Neurospora crassa OR74A: one gene and its partner. The protein of the gene in region 1 purifies or fractionates together with the protein of each later gene. This does not show direct contact. Links are inferred from orthologs where the notes say so. Each region holds a gene or a part of one and is shown on either strand. Other genes may lie near its edges.

Region 1 (4,172 bases):
CTCCCGAGGGTGGGGAGCAGTTGGTGTTGATGCACAAGGGGAAACACCTCCCGTTGATCAGGAGGGAAGGGTTGCCGCCGCCGGCGTCGAGCGATGTTGAGCAAGATGAAGCCTCGCAAAGTATAGATAATAAAGATGATTCCGCTTGATGGTTGATGACACACATTGAGACTGTGAGAGATGATACGCTGGAAAGCTCCTAGTCTTCCCAAATCGCCTGCTTGGCTCTCAAGGCCTCCTCCTCTGCCTTCTTCTTCCGCTCTCTCTCCTCCTCCTTCCTCTTGCGCTCCTTCTCGCGCAAGGCCCGGTCGTAAGCCTTTTGCTCCTCGGTCAGCTTGGGTGCCTTCAGCCCCAGAGCACCGGCAATCATCCGGCGGGCTACGGCGTCCGTCTTCTCGGGTCTCTTGTACTCTGAGGAAGAGGAAGTGTTGCTGGCGCTGCCGCCTGGCCCAGTGTAGTCGAGAAATGGTGGAATGGAAGTAGAGGTAGTAATAGATGGCTCCGGCTTTTTTTGGTTGTTGCGTGAAGGCGGGGGAGAGGGCGCTCCCTGCTCATCATCACTGTTGTTGTCGTCCTCCCATGATTCCGGCTGCGCACCAAAGCTACGCTCACGCTCAGACTTGGGCTCGGTCTTGGCCTCGGGCTCGGACTCGGAACTGACATCTTCGTCTTCCCAACTGTCGGCAACAGGCTCTGGCTTCTTAGCCTTGGCGTTCTTGGGTGACATTTTGGAGACTCCCGAGGTGATGTCGTCTGATGAAGGTGGTGCCATGTTGGGTGATATATGACTAGCGTACCGAAGTGGTGTCAAGATGTGTGTGAAAGGATGTTGTCTGATGGGTTGATGTTATACTTGTATGGCTGATGGACGAAGACTGTGTGTGGTACAAGTAAAGTGTCGTTAATGTAAGTTGAAAGAGCCCGCAGTCATGACCTTGGACTTCCACTTGGGCGTTTTGATATGCGGGTTGCTGCCCCTGCGGAGAGCTGCCCTGTCTGATACTATGTACTAGCGAACAGTGCCTGCCGATGCCCCGCTCCGGATCGGTGCTGCTAATGGATGCTCTGCTCGCCGTAAGCTCTCCCGTCCGGCAGCAGTTCCAGGCGGCGGAGTGGTGCTATGAGTTGGAGACTTGGAGGTAACGATCTACACTATACTGCAATTGGTCAAGCGCCTTGGCGACTAGTCTAGGCGCTAAACTTCACAACGGCGATGATGGAATTCCACTTGACCTCAGCTCCAGGGCAGTCCTGTCCCGCCGTCTGAGAGCTGGAGAGCGGCGGATGAGCTGTTACCATATGTAGTGGGCTGGAGGTACGTACCTTTTGTACCGTGACGCAACCGGGACGGTACCTAGACTTGGTAAGTAGTAAAAGACAGTAATTCCTCCATCTTCTACCGCCGGCCGAAGACCGAGGGAGCTCGAGTCGGTCGCTGTTCGCCTTCCGCCCCGTCGAGTTGATTATTCATACACCTCATTTGTCACGTACTGTAGAGAGCGCGAGAGTCATGGGCCTTGGGTTCCTTGGAGTCGTCGTCGTCGTCGTCGTCGTCACACACCCTGAATAGAACCCATCTTCTTATCTTTGCCTGTATACTACTATTTTAACAAACTGTAAACTTTTTTTTTTCCCGCCGCTTCGCCGCATCTCCGTCTCCCCCGCCGCGACCTCTCCCGCCGTCCCACTCTCAACACACACACCCGACCACATCCATTCTCCCCTCCCCTCCCCTCCCCTCCCCTACGACCGCAGCTCCCGTCCACTGTCGCCTTTGGTCCGATTTCGGGTCCGCTCTCTTCTAAGAAAAGACGACAATCCTCCTCACGAATCTCGACCTCTACGATATCCTCTTGCCCAGGCCCGCTCGTCACTGCCTGTATCCACGATGCTGTCCCGACAGCGCATCCCGCGCATCCTCGCGTCGAGGACATCGCTTGCGCATTCGATTAGGTCTTTCACCTCAACCACTTCTTCGATACGCCCGGTTGCCGCGGCTGGCCAACATGCCGTGACCCGGCCCCGACACGAAAGACCGACGAACCTCTCGAGTTTCTCAACGTACACTGCTCTGGGGAAGAAGAACGACAAGGGCTTTTTCGACAACTCGATCGAGCCACTATCAGAGGAGGAGCGCAAGGCAAACGTTGAGCACGCCGAGGCCGAAGCAAAGGAGGCTGAGTCGAAACAGGCCAAGTCCAAGTCTTCAACCTCGGATGCCCCGCCGCCGGCGCCAGAAGATGGAAAGGCTGGCGCTGCTGGCGGTTCATCTGCCGGCTCGGGCTCAGGCGCAGACGGTGGCTCCGGAGATGGTGGCAAGCGAGGCCGCAAGCCTGGTGATAAGGCATTGGCGAAGCCCGTCGTACCGGAAATCTACCCCCAGGTCATGGCGATTCCTATAGCGAAGCGACCGCTCTTCCCCGGTTTCTACAAGGCCATTACCATCAAGGACCCCAATGTCGCTGCGGCTATTACAGAAATGATCAAGCGCGGACAGCCATATGTGGGAGCGTTCTTGTTCAAGGACGAGAACGCCGACGACGATGTGATTCGGAACCGCGACGATGTCTATGACGTCGGTGTTTTTGCGCAGATCACCAGCGCTTTCCCCATGAACAACCAGAACGGCGAGGGTGCTAGTCTCACCGCGATTCTTTACCCCCACCGGAGAATCAAGCTGTCGGAGCTCATTCCTCCCGGCTCGCCTGAGGCTGCCTCGATCGATGGTGCGAAGGAGGGTGCTGCCCCTGAGCCGGTACCTGAGCCGATCCCCAAGGTGACCGACGAGTCTGAGCAAAAGGGTGACGTGGTGGCGAGCTTTGAGGAAAGCGCCGTGACACCTAGGCCCGAACCAAGCCAGAAGCCCTACGAGCCGACATCGTTCCTTAAAAAGTATCCGGTCAGTCTTGTTAATGTAGAGAACTTGACGGAAGAACCCTACGACCCCAAGAGCCAGGTTATACGCGCCGTTACGAACGAGATCGTAAACGTCTTCAAGGAGGTCGCTAGCATGAACAGTCTCTTCCGGGATCAGATTTCCACCTTTAGCATGAGCCAATCGACCGGTAATGTCATGGCTGAGCCAGCCAAGCTTGCGGATTTTGCCGCTGCTGTCAGCGCCGGTGAGCCTGCTGAGCTTCAGGAGGTTCTTTCTAGCCTGAACGTGGAAGAAAGAATGCACAAGGCTCTTCTTGTCCTCAAGAAGGAGCACGTCAACGCCCAGCTTCAGTCCAAGATTACCAAGGACGTAGAGCAGAAGATCACCAAACGCCAGCGTGAATACTGGCTCATGGAGCAGATGAAGGGTATCAGGCGCGAGCTTGGTATCGAGTCTGACGGCAAGGACAAGCTCGTCGAAAAGTTCAAAGAGCTCGCCGACAAGCTGGCCATGCCTGAGGCCGTGCGCAAGGTGTTTGATGACGAGCTGAACAAGCTCGCCCACCTGGAGCCTGCCGCTTCCGAGTTCAATGTCACGCGCAACTACTTGGACTGGCTCACCAACATTCCTTGGGGCCAGAGCAGTGCCGAGAACTTTGACATTCTGAATGCTGTCAAGGTTCTGGATGAGGATCACTATGGTCTCAAGGACGTCAAGGATCGTATTTTGGAGTTCATTGCCGTTGGAAAGCTACGCGGCACCGTCGAGGGTAAGATTCTCTGCTTCGTCGGTCCTCCGGGTGTCGGCAAGACTTCGATTGGCAAGTCCATTGCTCGCGCACTTGGTCGCCAATACTACCGCTTCAGTGTGGGAGGTCTTACCGACGTTGCCGAAATCAAGGGTCACCGCCGGACATACGTGGGTGCCCTTCCCGGCCGTGTCATCCAGGCCCTCAAGAAGTGCAAGACCGAGAACCCCTTGATCTTGATTGACGAAATCGACAAGATTGGCCGCGGCTACCAGGGAGATCCCTCGTCTGCACTTCTCGAGCTCTTGGACCCCGAGCAAAACGGCTCTTTCCTGGACCACTATCTAGATGTCCCTGTAGATCTGTCCAAGGTGCTTTTCGTCTGCACTGCTAACCTGACTGACACCATCCCACGGCCCCTTCTCGACCGTATGGAGGTCATCCGACTTTCCGGATACGTCGCAGATGAGAAGATGGCCATTGCCGAAAAGTACCTTGCTCCTCAGGCCCAGGAGATGGCTGGTCTCAAGGGCGTTGACGTGCAAC
Region 2 (3,177 bases), on another chromosome or scaffold:
GGTGCTATTTAGAGGCGTTTGTAAAGGTTAGGTATTGAGTAGCGGGTTCTGACTGCGTGTCTGCAGTTTGATGGTGTTCTGAGGCAAGATGTTCACCACAATGCGAATATTGAGTTGCAGTGACTGCGTGAATTAAGGACAAAATGTACGAATGAAATGAATGTAACCGGAATCCTCGGAAACGAACGCAAAAATTGATTAGAAAGATGTCATATCACAAGCACATTCTGACAAAGTATAATGTTTCTGCAACGGAAAAAAGGTAAGACGGAGAAAGGAGATGGACAAAGTTGAAGTTCGATTCAGCTGGGCTAAAAGATCAGTGACCCCAGTTCAACCAATGGCATGACCGCTGGCTTCCAAGGCGAGCAAGGGTAGCATGGCATAGAACGAGAATGGGCAAGATTTGCCATACCACCTCATGACTTGGACCCTTTGCGGTCATATCTCTGGTGCTGTATCAACTTAAAAACTGTCTTGTCCACTTGGACGTTGGTCCTATTACAGCATCTTCATCCTTACACAACCCGTTCCCATCGGCTTCTGTTGCATTATACAAATTTTGGTATGGAGTCGTGATATCAAACGTGGGATATAATTACAGGTACATGTCATACATCAGCTGCGGAATCAAAAAGCCGTCCCGCAGCCTCGAATCCTCTCGCCTTTTCCTTGTTGGATTTTCCATTCCTCGTGACAGTATCTCATCTCTCCCCATTTATTGGGCATCGACGAAGCCCTTGAGGTTGTTGAGCCACCTGAGGTACTCCTTCTGCTCCTTCATGTCAAGGTAGTCGGGAACGAAGAGGGCAAGGGCCTGGTTGATGCCACGGTCCTCGAGGTAGCGCTCCATGAGGACCTGGAGATCCTCGTCGAGGGTACCGAAGGGAGGGCCAGGGTAGACAGCCTGGGCAGCGTGCTGGGTCTCGGCGCTCTCACCGTGAGCGAGCTTGGCGTCGTGGTAGTAGAACATGTTGTCGACAACAATGGAGCCGTCCTGGGCAACGGCGTCGATGTTGAGGGCACCCTTGCTGGGCTTCTCAATGACGATGTTGAGACGGACGGGAGCGCCGCCGTCCTCACCCATGTCCTCCTCGTTCTGGGCACCCTCCTCGTCACCGAGAGCCGTGTCCTCGTCGAACATGCCAGGCTCGTAGTTCTGGAGGTCGGCGATGGAAAAGGAGATGGTGATCCTGGCGTACCTTGGTCAGCGCATGGTTCTTGATCGAAGTCATGTTGGGGGTTCAACTTACTGCTCGTTGCCAAAGGTGCGCTTCAGGACAACGTCCTCCTTGCCGGGGGTATCGACAAGCTCAAAGGGGCCGTTCTCAAGGAAATCCTTGACGGTGGCGGGAACGGGCTCGTTGGAGGCAATGTCCTGCTCATAGCCAATCTCGGTGGAGAGCTTCTCGGAGAGCTCAGAGTCGATCTCGGTGGCGGCAGCGCGGAAGACGGTGGTCGAGAAAGCCTTCTGGGGGAGCTGGGTCCTGAGAACGTTGCTGGTAGCGCGGACGGTGGCGCGGCCGAGGGTGATGGGAGAAGCAGAGACGGCACGGAGAGCACGGGGCGCAGTGGTGCGCGCGACAGCACGAAGAGACATCATCTTGACGGATTTGGTGGGGGGTAGTTTGTTGACTGTAGATTGGAAATTCGGGTCCGATCGTGTTGTTGCGCGTTGGGACAGAGGAGTGTTGTCGAGGACGGAAGCTGGGGTAAGTGAGTGGACGAAGACTGGAGCGAGACGAAAAGATGGGTAACGTGAGTGATGGAGAAATTCGATGACAATCCACGATGGATGGTTTTGATCATTGGATCCGCTCGCTGAAAGCTCCACGAACCTGTGCCGAGAGCAGCTGAGTGGTCCCGTCTCCAGAAATCTTCAAAAGCTCTGCAGTAGCTAGCGCAAAAAAATGCCGAGCACAGACCATCCAATGAGGCCCCGGCTGCGGGGACAAGAGGCAAGAACCCCATCGATAAAGCGTAGCGCCAGCCGATAAGCTCCCACCTAGCGGAAGTTCCCCCACAATGACGCTTTGGACCCACTAAAATTTTGTCAGTCTTCAGTTGAGGTTCAGGTGCGCGTAACAACGGGCGGCCTACCTCCAGCTCCATCTTCGACTACTCACATCGCGCCCAGAGGATAATTGTTCATCAATAGCTTATTTTAGTCGACTATATACGGAACTGATGGTCTGCTTTTACGATTTGTTTCCTCAACGCCATACCACTTAACACCTTTATAAGTTCTAGCTATTCTACCAACAAGTAAAGGGTCCAGCATTCTTCTGTTCCAGGGTCCAGATCGGCTCGACTGGATCCACACTTAACAAACATGGCTGCCAGGAACCGAGTGCCTTGGATGCCTCGGATCGATACGACAAATGACATGACCAATGCCAGCAATACCCACGCGAACAATCTGATCTATATGAACCGCCCATCATATCTCCCCAAGTCTGCCCTCATCTTCCCCATCCTCCTCAACCTCCTTTCGAGATCCTGTTGTTGTCCCTGTTGCTGTTGCTCTGATACCGGTAATGCTGCCGGTCCAGGCACGTACTCCCTCCCTTGTCCTTGCAACATCATCAATGTCGTCGTCGTCGTCGTCGTCTGTCCTGATACCGAGATCCGTCTCTGCTGCTGCCCCCTGTCATAAACACCACCACTGCCACCACCCCCTCCAACTCCATGGTGATAGTTGTTATTGTTGTTGTATCCATACATGGAGTTCACACCTTGCGCTCCAATGGGTACACTAACACTAACACTGCTCCCCCTCCTCCTTGGTCCTCCGCCTGTGCTGCCACTCGAGGTGCTACTCCCACTGCCACTACTGCTTCGAGACCGGGATGCCGGGAGGGTTGCTTCGTCCTGGCATTGCCAGCACTTGTACCCCGTCTGATCTCGTTGGCCGGAAACCCCGGATAGGCAGGAGCCAAAGATGCCGCTGCCGCTGTTCCTGGCTACGGAACAGAGTTGTTCTGAAATGAGGACTGTGTCCTCGCTGCTGCACCGGCGGCACACGCGGATGTGGGTCTTGTAGGTGCACATTTGCTTCGTCTCTGGTCTTGGGTGCCGTAGTGTGTGCCCGGTCAAGTCAACCAAGATGATGATGGTCGAGAAGATGTGTGAGATTGCGAATGCTAATCAACGGTGAGATGGATGATGGGAGATAGG

The links.
Region 2: the proteins of NCU05261 (region 1) and NCU06086 purify together in Saccharomyces cerevisiae (affinity purification with mass spectrometry; 4 studies listed by BioGRID, with this or other methods). This does not show direct contact. The link is inferred for Neurospora crassa OR74A from reciprocal best matches to the Saccharomyces cerevisiae genes PIM1 and MAM33.

Annotation. Positions count from the first base shown.
Region 1 is NC_026504.1:5,554,279-5,558,450, forward strand, and holds the start of NCU05261 (ATP-dependent protease La), read left to right. Parts: upstream 1-1,372; 5' UTR 1,373-1,888; coding exon 1,889-4,172. Other genes in the region: NCU16891 (hypothetical protein), read left to right, coding at 1-149; NCU05262 (hypothetical protein), read right to left, coding at 200-772. UniProt on the Saccharomyces cerevisiae protein: ATP-dependent serine protease that mediates the selective degradation of misfolded, unassembled or oxidatively damaged polypeptides as well as certain short-lived regulatory proteins in the mitochondrial matrix.
Region 2 is NC_026507.1:1,859,720-1,862,896, reverse strand, and holds NCU06086 (regulatory protein suaprga1), read right to left. Parts: upstream 1,807-3,177; 5' UTR 1,604-1,806; coding exon 1,254-1,603; intron 1,194-1,253; coding exon 719-1,193; 3' UTR 501-718; downstream 1-500. Other genes in the region: NCU17215 (hypothetical protein), read right to left, coding at 2,425-3,051. UniProt on the Saccharomyces cerevisiae protein: Not known. Binds to the sorting sequence of cytochrome b2.